Linked DNA regions of Elephas maximus indicus. The protein of the gene in region 3 interacts with the protein of the main gene of each other region in a biochemical or structural test. Links are inferred from orthologs where the notes say so. Each region holds a gene or a part of one and is shown on either strand. Other genes may lie near its edges. The genes, in order: RELA, ZNF106 and CREBBP.

Region 1 (3,744 bases), on a different chromosome or scaffold from region 3:
ATCCCCAGGTTCTGGAAGCTGAGGCCTCCGGGCGTCAGTATGCTGTCTCCAGCAGAGCCTGGGCCCTCCTGCCTTGCCCAATTTGCCCTTCCTCCCTCCCTCTCCATCCCCTATCATCGCCCTCTGCTTAACCATCCCAGTGGCTCCCCACTGGGCTGCAATGAAACCCCGATTCCTGACCCTGGCTGAGAAGCGCTGGATGACCAGGCCCTTGCCAGCTTCCTCCAGCCCCATGGGCTTTTTTTCTGCTCCTAAGCAGCTGATTTTTTTTAAGACGCTAAACTCATTCCCAGTTCTGAGCCTTTGTATTTGTTCTTTCCGCTTGGAACATCCTTTCCCTGCTTCTCTATTTCTCACCATAGAAGTCGTAGCTGAGCAAGGGCTTCCCGGAGCTTCCAATCCAAAGCAATGACCCCCTGCCCTGGGTTATTCTCCTAATCTACTGTTGTTATGTTGTCGTATGCCGTCGAATTGATTCCGACTCCTAGTGACCATACAGAACAGAGTAGAACTACCTCATGGGGTTTTCTAGGCTGTACATCTTTACGGGGGCAGATTGCCAGGTTTTTCTCCCATGGAGCGGCTGGTAGGTTCAAACCACACACCATTCAGTTGGCAGTTGAGCGCTTAACCATTGCACCACCAGGGCGCCTTCCTATCTACTAGCCGGTTTTATTTTCATCACTGAAATGATTACACTCCACCATTCTCTCATTTACTTTCCCGTATATTTACTTGGCCCAGCACTGTGAGGTAGTCAGCTCCAAGGGAGACTGCTGGCTTGGTTTTCTTTCTTGGCACAAGAGATGGGGCACTGACGGACTCACCGTTCCAACCACAGTGCAGGGGTCCAGAGGTGATTAAGGCCCCATCCCTGCCCCAAGGAGCTCACATCTGCTAGAGAGGGGGGTCCATGAACAGATCGTTCCAAGACTAGGGAAGTCTGTTTGTAAAGCTGGGCCCAGGACAAGGGGTGAGGAACTCTGCCCTGTGGCCAGAAAGGAGTAACACTGTAACAGCTTGTGACTGCCCTGCCTCCTGTCCCGCAGCCCACCCCAGGCCTGTGGGGGGCTCACACGTGGATGCAGCTGCCCTGCCTCCTGTGCCTAGCCCCACCTCCTGTCCTGCCAGCCCACCCTGGGCCTGTGGGGAGCTCACCTGTGGATACAGCGGTCTGGGCAGAGCTCAGCCTCATAGAAGCCATCTCGACAGTCCTTCCCCACGAGCTCATGTGGGTGAGGCCGGTGAGGGGGGTCCTTGGTGACGAGGGAGATGCGAACTGTCCCTGGCCCTGTGTAGCCATTGATCTGTCCAAAGTACAGAGAACACCCTAGAGGCCCAAGAATTCCAAAGCCGACTCCCAGACACAGAGGGCATAGTGACCTGGAGGCAAGCCTGCCAGGGCTCAACAGGCCACTCCCCCACCACTCCATACCCCCAGCCTACCCCTGAGAGCTGGTGACGCAGTGCTGACCTTAATGGTGGGGTGGGTCTTGGTGGTATCGGTGCTCCTCTCGCCTGGGATGCTGCCCGCTGAGCGGCCCTCGCACTTGTAGCGGAAACGCATGCCCCGCTGCTTGGGCTGCTCGATGATCTCCACATAGGGGCCGGTGGCCTGGGCCGGCTCTGCAGGGGACATGGTGAGCCCTTATTAGCGGCTGCCCCACTGCCCCAGCTGTGGGGAGATCCACCCGAGCCACTGACGGAGGACAGTCCACTTACCCGAAGGGAAGATGAGAGGGAACAGATCTGGAAGACGAGGGGGCCAAGAGTCAGCATAAGCCACTGTCCATCCTCTGGACCCCATCCCCGCCAAGAGAATATGGAGCCAAGCGCCCACCAAAGGAAACTAAATCAGGGCCTGCTCCTCAAACCTGCAGTGAAGCTAAGGGGTGGGGTAACGGAGCCAGAAACACCTGTTTCCTACGGGAAAACTGGATCTGGTGTCCTTCCTCCCTTTACTTAGGGAAACTGAGTCAGGACCCTCTCTAGTTTCATAAAGAGAGCTGAGGGAGGTTTCTCCCCATCTCCTATGCTGAGGAGAAATCGACTCAGGCACACGTTCCCCTAACAGGGAAACAAAGTTAGAGTTACCCCCATGGACCACGGAGGGAAACTGAGTCAGGGTCTGACTCGCACCCCCACCCAGGGAGGAAACTGAGTCAAGGTCCCCTTCCACCCCGAGGGGAAACTGAGTCAGACCCCTCGCCGCCTGCCCCGCCCCGCGCCACCATCCGGCTCGGCCGCTCCCTGCGCAGCACCCGCCAGCGCAGGAAGGGGCGGAAGGCGTGCGAGGGCTCCCGCCACGGCCTCGGTGGCCCCGCGCGGCCACCCCCCGGGATCCGAGAGCGCCCTCACCTTCCATGGCCGGGGTCCCGGGGGCGGGGCCGGGGTCGCAGCTGGGCCCGCAGCGCGCGCTACAGCCGAGCCATTCGCCAGAGGCGGAAATGCGCCGCGCGCGCCCGACACCGCGTCACTGCCCGGAACCCGGCTGCGCCTGCGCGCTGCGCCGCCGCCGCCGGGAGCGAGTGCGCGCTGCTGGGGGCCCAGGAGGCCTCGCGCGCCGCTGGGGCCGGGAACGAGCGCGCGCCGCGCACGGACGAGAAGGCCGTCCGCCTAGAGCTGCTCCCGGCGCTGCGCGGCGGCTCCGCTCGCTCCCGAGGTCCGGCCCCGCCTGGAGGCGGGCCCGGCGATTACTCACAATATTTTTAGGGGATTTCGGGGCCCCCTCCCGCCGATCGGAGGAGTTGGTGATGTCACCCAGGTCCCGTCTGGAGCGAAGCCAGGGCCGCTGGGCTGCGGCCGCCCGCCCGCGCCGGGGAAGGCCCGGGCTGGCGGCGCCCGAGAGGGCCGGGCGGCTGCACTCGACCCGGGTTTTGTCATCATCGGTAAAGGTGCCTTTTGATGGTAGTTGCTTCAGAAGCTCTTGTTAATATCCTGTTCACCTCAGTCAGATGCCGTTGGGGGGCAAGAGAGCGCCCTGGCCCCACATCTGACAGTGGAGCTTCGCGGAGCTTGCCGCAAAGAGGGGTGGCCGAGGCTCAGGCCCGCGTCCCTGACGCCGGCGGGCCGGGTCGAGTGAGACCAGGGCTCGGAACCTCTCCGCTAAAGGGCTGGTTTGGGATGCAGCCGGACTGAAGCAGTGGGTGGCAAGGGACGCTCAGGGGTACAGTTGTGATCCTCGTCTGGATGGCAGGGCGCCTGCGTCTTGCAAGGATCCGCTCGAACCCACGGGGACACGTCCCCCGCCCGACCCCCCCCCCCAGGGTCTCCAGCTAACGTCCAGCCACAGCCATCGGTGGGGCGCTTCCATTCATTAACCGCGGCGTCTAGAGACGCCTCGGCGCCGGTATCGCCCCCAAGCCCAAGGCGTATGCGTGCCGGGTGGGGGTAACGGACTGGAGCTGGGCAACCCCTTACCCCAGACTGCCTCTTTCTAGAATGATGGTCCGTGGTGGGGTGCGGAGTCTTCTCCACATGGAGAGAGTTTTGTTTTCTTGGAATTCGTTTTAAATTAAGAAATCATTTGGGAATTGGAAAAGACTGGAAATTCTGATTAGCTTTCCCAGGCTCTGAAAAAACAGGAAGAGAAAAGTGAAAACAAGTTACCATCCCTCCCACTCATTTCAGTTTCTCCTGGGGACCTAGTTAGAAAAGTCTACTCACTTTTTTGGAGGAAGCTGACTTCAAGTCGAAAGAATGGATTATTGAAAATCTTTGCAAAATGATGTACAACCATGATTA
Region 2 (3,744 bases), on a different chromosome or scaffold from region 3:
AGCTTATTGGGAAAAAATTATCCCCTTCCCGTCCTGCTCCCCCGCTACCTCGGACACCACCTCCGGCTCCAGTGACCAGATTCTTTGTACTCTCCCAGAGATATTTTATTCATATATATGCAAATACATACAGTTCTTAAAAAACCACAGATGGTTGCAAAATGCTCACCTTCTTTTGCACCTTGTTCTTTTCATCTGATATATCTTGGAAGTCACAATTGGGACCCCGGTGATAACAGTGGTTAAGAGTTCAGCTGCTAACCAAAAGGTCGGCAGTTCAAATGCACTCGGTGCTCCCTGGAAACTCTCTGGGGCAGTTCACTCTGACCTACAGGGTCCCTGTGAGTGGGAATCGCCTCCACAACAACGGGTTTGGTTTTGGCTTGGTTTGGAGGTCTCAATTAGCATACGTGGAGCTTCTGCGTCCTTTCTAACGGATGCGTGATTTATTTAATCAGCCTCCTACTGGTGGACATTTAAGGAACATTTCTTAATATCCTCTTTCAGATTTAAAAAAAGGAGAAAAAAAAATTCACTGTAAAGTTTCAATTAGAGATTCGAAATGCTGGAAGGCAATTGGAGTATTCATAGGTAACCTAGCTGCCTACGTGCTCTTAGCACCAGTACACAAATTAATCTTAAACTTCCCACTAAAGTACTCCAATTACAAAATACATGATATGTATACTTGCCACTGAGCTATTCCATGTCCCAGGACCAAGTCAGCTAGAAGCTACCACTGTTCCCTGCCTCTCCCGTACAGCAGCCTTTAGACTACCAGTGCCCTACCCTAGATGTACAATAATCACCATTTCAGTTTTTCCTTTTAAAACACCTTCCTTCAAATCAAAGCAGTTACTTGTGAACTAGCTGGACCAGACTAGTTTCTTACCCTCTACCTCTTCCAGGCCGTTTTGAAGTTCCCTTCAAAAACCATATAGCAAGTACCTTTAATCTAACTCAAGACTCCTACCATCTCCAGATTAAGCCAGACTAGGAAGAAAGGCCTGGCTACTTTCAACAATTTTATCTGATATAGTGCTGGAAGATGAGTACTCTAGGTTAGAAGGCACTCAAAATATACAGTGGCCGCAACAACGGACTTGAGCATACCAACAATCTGAAGATGGTGCAGAACTAGGCAACATTTTGTTCTGTTGTACATGGTGTCGCTATGAGTGAGAGCCAACCCAACATAACCATTTTCTAGTCTCAATAGTTAACTAAAAACTGTAACAGCAATGCAGTTTGCGTCCCAACACAAGGGCTTAGAACACCTAACTTATTTAACTTGGCGTTAACAAGAAAACAACGAGCTTTGGTATCATACCAAAAAAACCCATCGTTGTCAAGTCTATTCCGACTCATAGTGACCTTATAGGACAGAGTAGAACCGCCCATAGGGTTTCCAAGGAGGGGCTGGTGGGTTCGAACTGACGACCTTCTGGTTAGCAGGTGTAGCTCTTAACCACTACATCACCAGTTATTCTTGGGCATGACACTGCCTGAATTTTACCACTAACTCTAGAGCTAGGTGAGCTTCACCATACTCTCAGTGACCTCATCTGAAATGTGCTGCAGAAAACCACCTTCCATTACAAAATTTTTTGTGACAGTCCTGAGAGTGCCTGGAACACAAGGAACAGGTGCTATATATATCCTAGCTGAATCTGAATACTGCCTTCCACTGTTTTCATTCACCGGCAAACTTGAGAGCAGGCCTGAAACGAATTTTAAGATTTCCTGTTGAGTTTAGAACAGTACTAGGCTCTTTGTAAATCCTAAACAGTTACTTGTGGTTTGAATAAATTCGGTATAAACCACTATGGTGAACAAAGTACTCATTTAAAGAAATTTCCTTAACATGCAGTCTCAAGTTGCTAAGAGCCATGGAAATCTCAAACTCCCCCATAGGATAGCTTAATCTTACTCTCAAAGATGATTACACTGAACAGATTGAAGGGGAGGGGGTATGAAGCATTTCCTCACCATAAATATGCACCGAGATTCAGTCTAAATATTACATGGACAAATAGTAAGCGCTCCAGAATTAGTAGCTATTATTAAGACGCATTCCACAAAGAAGACGGAAGGAGGAAAAGGAACGAGACTGTCAGTCATGAGAAGTCGAAAGGTGTCCCTGGCCTGACACCCGCAGGCCTTAAAGCACCAGGGTGTATGGGGTTCCAGCCCGACCAGGAGCCGAAGGAGTTCAGCGACCTCCCCTAAACGGCAAAGCTTTGGAGCCACCCTTCCTGCTGGGGCTGGAAGCTGAGCCGAAACGCCCCCGCGAGAATCTGTACCCCGAAGCCAGAAGCACCGCCTACGAAAAGCCCGCGTGGGCTGGGAAGGGGGACCACAGGGCTGCCCCGCTCCGCGGCCGGCAGGAGCAGACCCCCGGCCCCTCGTGCAGCCCCACGACCCCCCGAAGGGTGGACCACCAGGACCCTCGGGCTCCGATACGCCTCAGCGCAGCCGGGCTCCCCGATACTCACACTCACAGACGATCCCTCTTACTCCATCGCGCCGCCGAGGCCCCGGCAAGGGAGCTCTCCGACCCACCCGGACCCCTTCCCCAGTTTTGGGTCCGGCGGCCCGCTCCGGACCCGCTCCCCGCCGGGCACAGCCGCCGCCACCGCGCAGGCGCACACCCGCCGTGGCGCTCTTTTTTTTTTCCTTTGCGGTTTGCCTTTCTCAATAATGTAGCTTTATTTGAACACACGAGCGTGAACAACGGACACGGAGGAAGAAAGCGGCTTTACTCGGAAAGAGTGGGAGAAGACCGAAGACTCTCCCGATTTGCGGAACAGTCGGTCCACTGCCACTGGACGTTGCTGTGACCAGCCCACCGCCCCCCGCCTGTCGCTTTTTTCTTCTTGTTCTTTCCGGGCCTCCTCTCGCTCTTATTCTTTTCTTAAATCCTCAACTCATTTAGGCGTGGCAGCTGTCGCCGCTAAACCACTCACTACTTCCTTCCAAAACTCTTTGAAGCTTAATGAAGGTGCGTGGGCTTTGGAACAGATAAGACCTGACTTCAAATCTTAACCCAGCTATTGTGACTTTAGGCAAATTCCATGTTTTCTTGGAACCTCAGTTTTCTCTGAGTTAATATTATGATAATGATATCCCATCTCTCAGAGTATTGCTAGGATTAAATGAGAGGTCAAGTGCCTGTCACAGAACACACATTCTAATACTCATACTAATGATTATATTATTCATATACAAAGTAACTTTATTATTGACCTTACCTCATACCTTAACCCTCAGGATCCTATTTTAGTGACTTAAACTAGTCAGATAAACCAAGTTATATTAAAGTTGATAATGACGTGAAGTGTTACTCTACCTATATTGTTGAACTTATAATATCCGTTTAACAAGACCTTCAATGCCTCTACCTATGTGTAAAGCCAGATTGCTTCTAGAAGTTTAGGAAACTTCCAATTCTGTATTTGTGACATCACAAGTCCTTGAAACAGTCAAGAACTGGGGTAGCTGCTCATTCTACTCTCCTTTAAAGGCATGCAATGGAAGGGCCACATTACCCAATAAGCTCAGGGCCATACTCTAAAGATAAACCTGTAGAAGACCAAGGTCCTAACTGGTGAACATCAAGGTAACCCTGGGTCAAAACTTCTCAAACTTGGCACTGACATTTTGGACCGGTCAATTTTTTGTTGTGAGGGGCTGTCCTGTGCATTGTAGGATGTTAACCAACATCCGAGGCCACTCCATGCAGTT
Region 3 (3,744 bases):
AAGGTTGTACCTCAATTAATGTGCTTGACAATGACTCCTTCCTCCTGCCCCTCTCCCCCAACTAATAGACCCTTCTGTGAAAACGTGATGGACGTGGCCAAGGACTAAACTAAAGTAGGAGCATTAATTTTATTCTTTGGATTATTTAAAAGGGAGCCATTAGAAACAGAATCTTTTGTTCCACATTTGAAAAAGTAAAAAGAGCCTCTGTTTGTTCAAATGGTAAGGAAGAAAAAATGTTAAAAGTGGAATCCTTCCTGATAATCTATGTTGGGATTCCAAAATAAACACCAAACCCAGTGCCTTCAAGTCGATTTCCACGGATTAACAGCACCTTAATTAAATATCTGGCCATCCACTAACAGAACTACTCAAAAAAGCCATCCTTTGGGGTCCATGCTGGAAACAACACCCCTTTTTGCTAAGTCTCCAGTTAATCACTTGCTCCCTTATAAAACAAAACCTATGGTAACCTCATTCAACAACTGCAAAGCTGTGCAGCCACTCAAAAGTTACCCGGTTTCAGAGGACAAGCTTGAAAGCTCAACTTTCCTGGTACGAGCTGTATCTCTACGTTTCCTAAGACTGAAAACTTTTCACTTAAATATGGCAAGGTTTTAAGCAAATAATATCTGTTCTGCAGCAAAACGGCATTTAAAATATGGTTGTTACCAAATTTTTCACTTCGGATAAATTGAGACTTGTATCCCACCGCCCCCAGTTTAACAAAATTTTAACTACACGAAAACCAACTTAAGACCGATTTTTTAAAAAATTGCTTCTCTCATTTCTACATTATTACATGCCACTTTTCATAACTAGATCCCAGGAATTGTATTAAAACTGAAGCCACAAGATTTGTTTCAACAGCAGAACTAGATTTTTGTCTACGCAAATGGACAGTCACAGAAATACTTCCACAAGTTAAACAGCTGTGTCTAGTGCAAATCTGAAGGCACTGCAGCGCGATACAATTCGATTTGGACCCATTCATTATAAATTGATTTTCAGATGCTGTTACTCAAAGCCTGCACTGGAGAAAGGCAAATACTGTATTGCGCTGGAGACCAAAATCGCTTGCAGCTGCACCCAAGTTTTTACTGCAGAATCGAGAGCTCTAAAAGAGGAAATGCCACCGGCTGGTACTGTTACCACGAACCAGCCTAGAAAACCCAGCACTGTTAAGTGAAGCAAAAACTAACATGCTTTTCTTAGGCAACTGATAGGATTACTTAAGAAAGTTTTCATGGATGCTGTTTGATGAGAAGAAAAAAAAAAAAAAAAAGACGATTTACTCCATATTCTGCCAACATTTCTGGAAGAAAGGTAATTTCTACATTTCTTCACATAATTTTTTGCACATCTACACTGTAAAACCAAGACAAGCTCAAATGGAGGCTGTGGCTCAAATGAATCTATTCACTTTCTAAGTTTTATAAGTGAGATTAAACACATCACAGCAACCTTTACAACATCTTGCTAAGGGAGTTCAGGGTTTTGAAAAATGGGATGATTAGGTGACAAGAAGAGTCTTCAAAATAACTACTAAACATTTCCCCAGGAAACATAATCCAAGAAACTTCTAAGTTGCAACTCACAAGCTGGTGGCTGCGTGCGTGTTGGGGTTGCAGGGTTGTGAATACATTACCAATTCAGAAAACACACCAAGTCACCCTCTGGCTCCGAGATTTCTTTCCGTAGCCAGAAATCGTACCTTCCCTCCCCTGTCATTCCTCTAGACAGCCACGCGTGTGTGGACACATGGCCGCAGTCGGAGGCGTGTGATGTGACCAAACAGAATGAACACACTCCACTTTACTTTTTCTCCCGGGAAGTCTCATTCCTCTGCCACGCGACGGGGGCTAGCCAACTCCAGGAAGCCCAGCGCATGCAGGACTCGGGCCGAGTGACAGTCTTCCCCCACAAACTTCCACTCTCCCTGGCGGGGGCACGGGCCGGGGGCTGCGTGGGCCCCACTTCGGGCCGCGATCCACAGTCGGGTCTCGGCGACCCCTGCCCGACAGGCGCTCGCGGGGCGATCCTCAGTCGCGGAAGCCCTCGCCTTGGGTGGGGATGACAGCCCCCGTCAGGCTCCCGCCGCCCTGGGTCCGCCCGGCCCCCTCCTCACCTGTGCTGTCATTAGCAGAAAATCCAGGCGAGCTGAGTTTGGCTCGTTTCGGATTGGGCGGTCCGTCCAGCAAGTTCTCGGCCATTTTCACCTGCTCCCGAGGAGCGCCCCAGCACGGGCTCGGGCGCGGGTCGGTGGGCGCCGGCCGGCGGCCGAGGGAGCGGGGCGGGAGCGGGCGAGGAGGCCAGAGGAGGCGCGCAGGCCGGTGGGGGAGGCGGCGGCAAATCTCAGCCTCAGCAACAGCGCCCCGCAGCGCTCACCGAGCGCCCCCGGCCGCGGCCGCCGCCGCCGCCGCCCGCGGCCCCCTCATCCCCTGCCCGCCTCCTGAGCGCGACACGCCGCGGCGGGGGTGCTCCGGCGGCCCGGCCGCCCCCCGTGCCCGGCTGGCAGCGACGGCGCCGGCCCGGCGGCTCAGACGGTCCCCGGGAACATGGTGCCGCCGCCTCCTCGGCCGCGCTCCCCCCCCCTCCGCGCCCCACTTAATGGATTCACTCGCGGACGGCGAGGAGGGGGCCGGGGGTCCGCGCCCGCCCCGGCCCGCCGCCGCCGGGAGGCAAAACAATGCGCCGAGCGGAGCCGCGCCGCCGCCGCCGCGGCCCCCCCACCCCCGTGCCGCCGCCGCCGCCGCCGCCGCCGCCGCCGCCGCCGCCACCGCCGCCGCCGCCGCCGCCGCCGCCGCCGCCGGGCTCCGGGAGGCCGGGCCGAGGGGCGAGTGGGGCCGCCGGAGCGGGCGCCGAGGGCCGGACGGAGCGGACCGGCCGGCGGAGCGGGGTGCGCGGGCGGTTGTGGGGCCCGGGACCGGCGGGGCCGAGTAGATCGCGCTCGAAGCCCCGATCGGGTCCGCGACAAGATGGCGGCTGTTGATTCCTCAATTAAAAAAAAAAGAAAGTTTTTTTTCTTCTCTTTCCAGAGCCAGAACAGGGAGGGGGAGGGGGCGGGGCACGCCTTGCGTCACTCCCAAGCGTCAGCACGCACGGCCCCGCCCCGCCCCCTCCACCTGCGCCCGCCACGGCGGAAAGAGCCGAGTGCCCCAGGCGGAAAGGGCCGAATGCGCGGCAGAGGAGCTTGTGAATGCCTAGCCCGGCCGTGGGGCCAGGGCCGGGCCTGCGGGCCACTTGGCACCTGGCTTTTGGCGGCGACTCGGGGGCGGAGGCCCGGGCGTCGGGGCCTCGTCTGGGCGGGCCGCCCCCGGGCCCCGCGGTGCCACTGGGCCCCTGCCCGCCACCCTCCCCGACGACGTCCGGAGGGGAGGGCCGGGGCGACCTGGACCCGAGGCCGGGCCACTGCCCCTCTCCGGGTGCCTGTGACGTCGAGTGTGCAGGGTCCGCCACCAAGCGTGTGCAGATGGGAAACAGGCAGGGAGGGCAAAGTAATTCATTCAAGGTCGGCGAGGCAGACAGTGGCAAGGCCTGGATTCGAAACCCTCCAGGTAAGGTGGGGGCACGTAAGACTCCGGAGTCCCGAGCCCGATGCCATGGCGGGGCTTCCAGGTGCGACACCCTTACCTGCCGGAGAAGGGTGGTGGGCGCCACCTCCACCCCGAGCCAAGCGCGCTCTGCCCGCTCCTCTAGCGGAAAAGTTCCCATTCCCTCTGGGCTCAGGGCCTCAGGAGGCAC

What was found.
Region 1: the proteins of CREBBP (region 3) and RELA form a complex in vitro, tested with the Homo sapiens proteins (9 studies listed by BioGRID and IntAct). The link is inferred for Elephas maximus indicus from reciprocal best matches to the Homo sapiens genes CREBBP and RELA.
Region 2: of the proteins of CREBBP (region 3) and ZNF106, one has a biochemical effect on the other in vitro, tested with the Homo sapiens proteins (2 studies listed by BioGRID, with this or other methods). The link is inferred for Elephas maximus indicus from reciprocal best matches to the Homo sapiens genes CREBBP and ZNF106.

The regions. Positions count from the first base shown.
Region 1 is NC_064825.1:128,815,698-128,819,441, forward strand, and holds the start of RELA (transcription factor p65), read right to left. Parts: upstream 2,487-3,744; 5' UTR 2,366-2,486; coding exon 2,359-2,365; intron 1,750-2,358; coding exon 1,723-1,749; intron 1,627-1,722; coding exon 1,475-1,626; intron 1,308-1,474; coding exon 1,159-1,307; intron 19-1,158; coding exon 1-18. UniProt on the Homo sapiens protein: NF-kappa-B is a pleiotropic transcription factor present in almost all cell types and is the endpoint of a series of signal transduction events that are initiated by a vast array of stimuli related to many biological processes such as inflammation, immunity, differentiation, cell growth, tumorigenesis and apoptosis.
Region 2 is NC_064828.1:13,497,135-13,500,878, reverse strand, and holds the start of ZNF106 (zinc finger protein 106), read right to left. Parts: upstream 2,671-3,744; 5' UTR 2,496-2,670; intron 1-2,495. UniProt on the Homo sapiens protein: RNA-binding protein. Specifically binds to 5'-GGGGCC-3' sequence repeats in RNA. Essential for maintenance of peripheral motor neuron and skeletal muscle function.
Region 3 is NC_064830.1:61,817,820-61,821,563, forward strand, and holds the start of CREBBP (CREB-binding protein), read right to left. Parts: upstream 2,399-3,744; 5' UTR 2,214-2,398; coding exon 2,129-2,213; intron 1-2,128. Other genes in the region: uncharacterized protein LOC126087487, read left to right, coding at 2,979-3,557. UniProt on the Homo sapiens protein: Acetylates histones, giving a specific tag for transcriptional activation. Mediates acetylation of histone H3 at 'Lys-18' and 'Lys-27' (H3K18ac and H3K27ac, respectively).